Linked DNA regions of Saccharomyces cerevisiae S288C. The protein of the gene in region 2 binds, or shares a complex with, the protein of the main gene of each other region. Each region holds a gene or a part of one and is shown on either strand. Other genes may lie near its edges. The genes, in order: SPN1 and SPT6. A codon is read from its position in the direction of its gene.

The links.
Region 1: the proteins of SPT6 (region 2) and SPN1 are in contact, whole or in part, in a crystal structure (PDB 3OAK), measured with the Saccharomyces cerevisiae proteins. Residues at the interface, in NP_011631.1 of Saccharomyces cerevisiae: Lys241 (codon at 880), Glu244 (codon at 871), Met245 (codon at 868), Asp247 (codon at 862), Ile248 (codon at 859), Phe249 (codon at 856), Gly250 (codon at 853), Gly252 (codon at 847), Asp254 (codon at 841), Tyr255 (codon at 838), Trp257 (codon at 832), Ala258 (codon at 829), Leu259 (codon at 826), Ile261 (codon at 820), Glu262 (codon at 817), Asn263 (codon at 814); in NP_015458.1 of Saccharomyces cerevisiae: Arg222 (codon at 1,336), Glu226 (codon at 1,324), Pro227 (codon at 1,321), Leu228 (codon at 1,318), Pro229 (codon at 1,315), Asp230 (codon at 1,312), Gly231 (codon at 1,309), Thr253 (codon at 1,243), Leu256 (codon at 1,234), Lys257 (codon at 1,231), Gly262 (codon at 1,216), Arg263 (codon at 1,213), Val264 (codon at 1,210), Ile266 (codon at 1,204), Phe267 (codon at 1,201), Lys270 (codon at 1,192), Ser271 (codon at 1,189), Lys272 (codon at 1,186), Arg273 (codon at 1,183), Ile286 (codon at 1,144), Trp289 (codon at 1,135), Thr290 (codon at 1,132), Arg291 (codon at 1,129), Pro292 (codon at 1,126).

The regions. Positions count from the first base shown.
Region 1 is NC_001148.4:795,212-799,095, forward strand, and holds SPN1 (transcription factor SPN1), read right to left. Parts: upstream 2,000-3,884; coding exon 767-1,999; downstream 1-766. Other genes in the region: 40S ribosomal protein uS12 RPS23B, read left to right, coding at 184-556; TOM5 (Tom5p), read left to right, coding at 2,346-2,498; MSS18 (Mss18p), read left to right, coding at 2,840-3,646. UniProt on the Saccharomyces cerevisiae protein: Transcription factor involved in RNA polymerase II transcription regulation. May function in both SPT15/TBP post-recruitment and recruitment steps of transcription.
Region 2 is NC_001139.9:718,409-722,008, reverse strand, and holds the start of SPT6 (chromatin-remodeling histone chaperone SPT6), read right to left. Parts: upstream 1,601-3,600; coding exon 1-1,600. Other genes in the region: DAM1 (Dam1p), read right to left, coding at 2,085-3,116; cytochrome oxidase assembly protein SHY1, read right to left, coding at 3,482-3,600. UniProt on the Saccharomyces cerevisiae protein: Histone H3-H4 chaperone that plays a role in maintenance of chromatin structure during RNA polymerase II transcription elongation thereby repressing transcription initiation from cryptic promoters.

The DNA.
Region 1 (3,884 bases), on a different chromosome or scaffold from region 2:
AGGAGGAGAAAGGCCATTTTGCGAATTTTGAATAAGAAAGTCCACAAGTGATGAAACTGAAAATCTACAATGAATTTCTGCCATCTCAGATAATGAATTCACTACGAGAACCTCATTTACTAACAAATTTATTAATCTTTTTGATGAAACTATGTTTTGTCAAAAGTTAATCGTTTAAAACAGCCGTTGGGCCGAAAACAACTATAAGAAGAGATTATTGGGTACTGCCTTCAAGTCTTCTCCATTCGGTGGTTCTTCTCACGCCAAGGGTATTGTCTTGGAAAAGTTGGGTATCGAATCCAAGCAACCTAACTCTGCTATCAGAAAGTGTGTTAGAGTTCAATTAATCAAGAACGGTAAGAAGGTTACTGCTTTCGTTCCAAACGATGGTTGTTTGAACTTTGTCGATGAAAATGACGAAGTCTTGCTAGCCGGTTTCGGTAGAAAGGGTAAGGCTAAGGGTGATATTCCAGGTGTTAGATTCAAGGTCGTTAAGGTCTCTGGTGTCTCCTTGTTGGCTTTGTGGAAGGAAAAGAAGGAAAAGCCAAGATCTTAAGCAGAGTTATATTACGATTTCATAATTCGAAAAATTCTACTGTGTATGTATATGTTTAAGAGATTAAATAATTCTTCAAAATCATCAAACATCAAGCTTATTTAATAATCCTCTTAATAAAACCACCTAGTGTTATTTCGAATTTCTTAAACAAAAAACACATACATATGATACATATCTCAAAGCATTACGGAATTACCTGTTTTGTTATTATTTATGCTTCTTGTTTAATCTTGAAGTCAACCTCTTGTACATCTCACTATTGTTTAAAGTGGAACCAACACCAACTGCTCTTGCGTTTGTAGGTACTGCGCTAAGGTTACTCACAGGAGCATACTTGTAATCAGTAGTGGTTTGTGCTGGTGCGGCAGCCCTGTTTCTCCTTGCAGCAGCTTGTTCGTACAAGGTTTGTACCGAAGAACCACGAGAGGTAGGATCTTCACCAGACTTAGATTTCTTTTTCCTATTTTTGGCAGAATCCATAACGGATTTCTTTCTCAATTTTTCAGAATCAAACTCTAATTGCATTATTCTCTTATCTCTGTAGTTATCTGAAGCACCAATAATAGGTCTTGTCCACTCCGCAATTAATTTTTCAGCCAACCTAGCTAGTTGAGCTTCGACACGCTTGGACTTTGTATAAAAGATAACTACTCTCCCCAAACCACTCTCCTTCAGGTGTTCAGTTTTCACTGGTAGATCGTTTAAAGCTGCAAAGAGTGACTTTTGAATCTCAAAAGATGGCAGAGACCCATCAGGTAAGGGTTCCAACCATATTCTGACACTTTGAAGTAAGTTATTATCCAAAATGGTGTCTGCCAAGTTTGCCTTTGACAGTACGCTTACCACCTTCGGCAACAATTTGACCTTCTGCATGGCAATCAGCGAAGTATCTCCAGTTTCTATTCTCTTATTTAAAGTATCGATGTCCAACTGTGCTGCAATATTCATTTCGTCTTTAAGCCTTAGAATTTTTTCATCCAAGTACTGTTCTAAATCGTCTTCATCCCTCCTCGTTCTTCTAACCTTTGGTTTTTTCAATATACGGTCCAGTTTTTCTTCCAATTCCTGTCTACTACTTGGAGTAGCACTTGAATCTCTATCTTTACTAGCCCTATTTTCCACCGTTGGTTGAAGACTCTGATCATTATGCTCCTCCTTTTCTAGGTCGTCATCTGAGAAATCTGTGCTAATGTGCTTACGTTTCCTTTCTGCAGCTTCTACGTTACTATTTTCGTCTATTGCGGCTTCCTCGTTCTTTTCTCCGTTATCTGGGTCTTTAGTATCATTGGAGGTACCTTTTGAAGTTTCTTGGGGTTCCATACTTTGATTTTGTTTTGTATTTTCATTCTCAGCGTTTATAGTTGACTTTTGGGAGGAAGCTGTCCCATCTTCTGGTGTCGCTTCCACCACTTTGGGTTGTTCTTGATCGGCTGTACTCATTGCTAATTGATATGTTTTTGCCTTTTATTACTAAAAGTTCCTCTATATATACTTCAGAGGACAATAAACTCCCTTGATATGGCCTGCATATACTTTACAAGTGCTATCAAACAAAGATGCTGGGCAATGAAGCTGACAGTTAACTCTTCCAAAACTTCCCTTCAAAGAAATTGTGAGAGAAAAAAACCTTCTTGTTACCCTTCTTTGGAAGAATACCGCACATCATAAAATCAAGAAATGAATTCGAAAGTTTACTCTTTCTTTCTAGAGGCGTTACACCAATATTAGCGAATTGCAGTTTCCCACAAAAGGCGTCCATTGGCATCAAATAACTAGATAGTATAAAATGTTTGGTCTACCTCAACAGGAAGTCTCCGAAGAGGAGAAAAGAGCTCATCAAGAACAAACTGAGAAAACCTTGAAACAGGCCGCTTATGTGGCTGCGTTTCTTTGGGTTTCCCCAATGATCTGGCATTTGGTGAAAAAGCAATGGAAATAATTCCCCACTGAAGAAAAAAGATTGCATCTATGAATGACACTAAAATATGTTTCTCTTTTTGTATTTGCTTTTGATTAAATAATGGTCAATTTGCGCCCCCCACCTTATATAGTTTAGAGAAAGACGTGTAAATATTTTTTAAAAAATTGATACTGCTCTAATGAGCCTAAATCTCCTTTCTTCGCTTGTATATATGCGTATTCTGTATGTTTGTCCAGGCAGATTTTTCGGCTTTTTTTACCAGCTTTTATTATTAAAATGTGATAACCTTAATTGAAGGTTGCGATACAAAATAATCCTTTATTACGCATAACCAAGGAAAAGAGAAAATCAGTGCACATATGGGTTTACCTGAAGTTAACTTTCTTCGAAAAAACTGCATACTTGTGGAGTTAAAATTATTCTATCAAACAGTATACCCACCGAAGGAACTATATTGGAATAACCGAATAACTGCAGAATTGAGTACATTCTCCAATATTAAGTATGCAAGGCCGACTTTCGCAGTAAATAATGGCACATTTCAGAGAACAAGACCGAAATTAGACTTGGTACTGGCTTCATCTGATATTCGTAAGCTGGCTACGGTTTTATTTAATTTAAAAGCTCTCATAATGAATACGAAGGGTGAGGAACCCACTCTAACCACGATGACTAGTGTCCAAACGAACGAAGAGAAAAATGATAACCTGGAACAGAAATATTCAAGTCTGCTAGATAGATGGAATGGGAAAGTAGAAGTGCATGATTCTCCTTTCCTTCAACTCCAACGGGACAGCAACCTTTTGTTTGCTGAGAGGCCGGTACGTTACGTTAGCACTACAGAAGGTGAAGGCGTGGACATATCTAGTGAAGAGTTTTTCAGGTTAGAGGAAGAACAGTGCCGAAGGAATTATGATGTTTTGGTCGATGAACATTCTACACCATCAGTCGGGATGAAAGACGGCCAATACGGACCAAATATAATTCACTTTGAACCGTCGCTGTACCACACATATTCTTCTCTACCAATGAGTATGAAATTTTGGTTAAATGGTCTAGAAGACGACGAAACGACGATGATGAACATTGATGAGAAGTCAGCCGAAAATCTGGATATATTATTACATGGTTTCAAAGGATTTTCGAACAAGCGCGTTAAAGGATGAATTAATCATCCTCTTCATGTACTACTTATGTCCAATTTGAGTGTAAAATCACAGGTACAAGGCTTATCCATATTCGTATATATCTTCATAATGTTTCATAATTGCTTCAGAAAATTATTCAAAACGTCTTGTGATATTCATTAGGTGAAATCGTAGTTTGCCTGATACTTGAAAGAATCTCACCTGGAGAATGGGTGTTTTCACTAAGATTCGTTAATTTCCACTAATGATTAATTGT
Region 2 (3,600 bases):
TTTGATGCTGGGAACTGATATTTTCACCAACATCCTCAGCTGATATACCAATATCACTAACCGCTTGATAAAGAGGACTAGCTTTAAATTTTTCATAACTGGAATTTTTCAAATGTTTCTTACCAGTCTTTCCAGTGTGGTTTATAAACATTTCATTGATTTCGTTGGCATATTTGAATTCTAGGTAGTCATAAATATCCTGTAGAGAATTCAGTTCCGCAATAGATGCAGTATTCTGATTTTTGAAGTATTCAGTGACAATAGGATCATCGATATGTAATTCTGCATAAAATCTCTGGACATAATCCTTTTTGTTCACAAGACTGTGAAATTCGATGTCAAGGCTAACTATATCCCAAAGGTCATCTTCAGTCAAAAGAAACCCATCTTTTTCTCTTGAGGAAATATAGTTACGACGGTAAGCATATATAAAAGGGACTTCCAAGTTTTCTTTGGTGATAAATTTGATTGCGTTCCCAATTGCTTCTTTAAATTCAGTGAGATCATAATTGGCATCGAAGTTCTTATCCACAGAAATTTTTTCTGCTATCCAGTTTCTTTCTAATTCTTGATCCTCCGATGACATATTTCCGTAGTCAGTAATACCTGCTCTTAATTCTTGATATCTTTCTGGAATATCTGTCTTTCTAATTTTCATGTCTCCTTCAGTCATCAAGTTTTTTTTCAAATCCTCTAAATCATAAATGTCTTGTAGAGATATCTTTTTCTTGGTGCTTTTTATAGCACCAGTTTCTTCATCGATCTCTTCTTCTTCAGCTTCATTGTTGTCGTTACCATTTTCTAGTTCTTCATTTTCAATTTCTAAAGCCCAATCGTAGTCATGACCATCACCAAAAATGTCATACATCTCGTCAATCTTATCCGACGATAGACCAGTAATCTGTGTAGGTTGTTTGATGGATTGTTCTCTTAAAAGCTTCTTTTCTTGGATCCTCCTTTGTCTGGTTTCGTCGTCCTCATCAGAAAATTCATCATCTTCAATGAAATCATCCAATTCGTCCAAGATTCCACCTTTGTCAGCTGTTCTGTTCCTATTTTCATGGTCTTCTTCATCACGCCCATATTCATTGTTCCTACCGTTGCGTAAACCAGATTCTTCTTCTTCTTCATCTTCAGAAAAGAAATCTTCCAATTTAGACGTAGAATCTTGCCTTGATGCAGCGACGTTGTCACTTTCTGATTCTGCAGCGTTTCCTTCATCTCCTACTCTCTTTAATCTTTTAAATTTTCCTGAAGAGGAGCTCGCTTTGGTACGTTCAACACCAGCATTCTCCATTAACAAATCCAAATCATCTTCGGATAGTCGATCATCTTCTTCTCTTTCTCTTCTTTTATGTTTTCTTCTTTTTTTGGAAATACTTGTTCCTGGGTCTTCATTTTCATCATCATCGTTGACAATGAAGCCTTCTTGCACTTTTCTTGCCTCATCTTCGTCTTCATCAATATCTTCGTCTTCCTCAGAGGAGTCAAAGACATCTTCTCCTTCTTCTTCCTCACTAGGCGCTTTAGTTTCATCGTTGTCATTTACTATTTCTTCCTCGTCCCTAGGGACCAGCTTCGAATCTCCCGTCTCTTCCATAAAAGGCAAATTCTATGTAAAGATTCTAGGCAATTAATGACCTGTTCGCTTGGGTTATTCTTCAAAGCACAAATCAATATCTTTCTTCCTCCTTTTGCTTTAACCGTTGTCCAGTTTCTTGTCAATTTGGTTTGCCATACATAACGAAAAAAAAATGACAGTTATAGAAAATATTACCCGAATTTTCCCGCACTTTTATTGAAGACGTTATATAAAGGGGTACTAACTAATTTAAAAATCATTCATGACTCGCATAGTGGCACAGTAATAGCCTCGACCGCCTGTCCGTATCTTCTTTTATATAGATATATCATGTTTCGTTGTAATGCGGGTTGTGCCCATGCACTGCTGATATGTGTACTGCCTTCCTCCCTATTGCTATAAAGAATCAGTCAGCTCATCAAATATTCTTCTTATCCATAACTCACGCATGCTAGCGATATATTTTGTGAGGAGGATAATTCTTTGGTTGGGTTGGGCGTAGTCATCTGAAGGGGGGCCTTGTATTTATTTTTTTTTCAGTTTTCTTTGCAACAGAATGTCTGCTTTCTGTGGGTTTCCTTTCAGCACGTCCTGAGAACATTGAATTTCTGTTCTTCGTAACGGGCCCATTGACCACTCTTGCAGCACCACTTCCGAGTGATATTCGATTATTTGGATGCAGATCTCCCAAATTAACAACATTGTCGTTTTCGATGGGTAAATCAGCGCCGGAAGCAATGCTATTTCTGATTGTATGTAAGATGGACTTTCTTCTCAGTTTACTGTTGGTATTATTATTCAAACGCGTGGTTTTAGTCACGTGACCTTGAGATGATTTGGACATACCGATATTTGTTGGATTTAGAACAAAAGAAGCTTCACTACTAGTATCGTCTTCATAGTCCTCCTCATTCTCTACTTGTAAGTTGTTGCCTATCTTGGAGGGCTTCCTCTTGTCTCTGTTGTCATATGACCTGTATTTTCTTACTTGTGAGGAGGGAAATAGCGGCTGGTTAAACTGTTTGTTCTGAGATGCCTTGGCCAAATCATTTTCACCTTGTTCGTCTTTTTTTCTTTTAATCCCGCGTTCCATATTGGAGAGTTCCATTACTAAGTTATTTTTCTCATCTTCCAACGATTTCAATTGTTTAATAGCGATCAAATCGTCTTGAATATCATGAGGCGCCTGTGAGAATTCTACGCACCATGAATTGCTCATAATACCGTACAACAACGAACCTAGGGATTCATTAAGATCAGCTAAACTCTCGTGGATAAAATTTAAGCGCGTGAAATTGGAATCTAAAGTAATGATTGAATCGCTCAGTTCTCTTATTTTAGGCAACAGAAGCTGTTGTATGGTATTCTCGTTATATTCGCCAACGGAACTCGTTAATCCCTCTTGATCAGCAAATTTCATCAGGGATGAGGATTCACCCATAGACGACCTTCTTGAAGTCGGAGCGCTACCAATGGATAAACGATATTCCGTGGCAGACCTTGTGGTCCCTAATTTAGCTTTATCTTCGCTCATAGGTGAAAGTGGCAATACAAGCCTTTTCTGATATTGTTTTGGTGCAATTGCTGAGCTTATACGCTCCAAGTTTCAGTGCAATTGGACAAGTTTAACGCCAAAGGATTCATGCGTCGATAAAACATGTTTGTTTTGGCTATTATTTATCGATATTGTCCGGGCAACGCGCAATGTTCATATCTTGAGCGGCACATAAGGTATATGGATAAAAAGGTGTTAGTTATGTACAAGTTTAAATTATGTAAATGTGCCATATCCGAATCATTGTAGTTGCAAAACTAATGTGGAAAACCGTTTAGGCAGTGCTCGTGAAATTACGCGCTTCTTGGATAGAGTTCGATAGTATGGGCAGAGGAGTTTGCCGTTTACATATATTTCCTTGAATGCTTCAGTTTCTCTTTCATTAGTTGGTCTTGGGACACAACGCCCCCTCTTTTCGCCTTCCTAAGAGCCACAATGAGGAAGATTGTGCTCAAAAACGAAA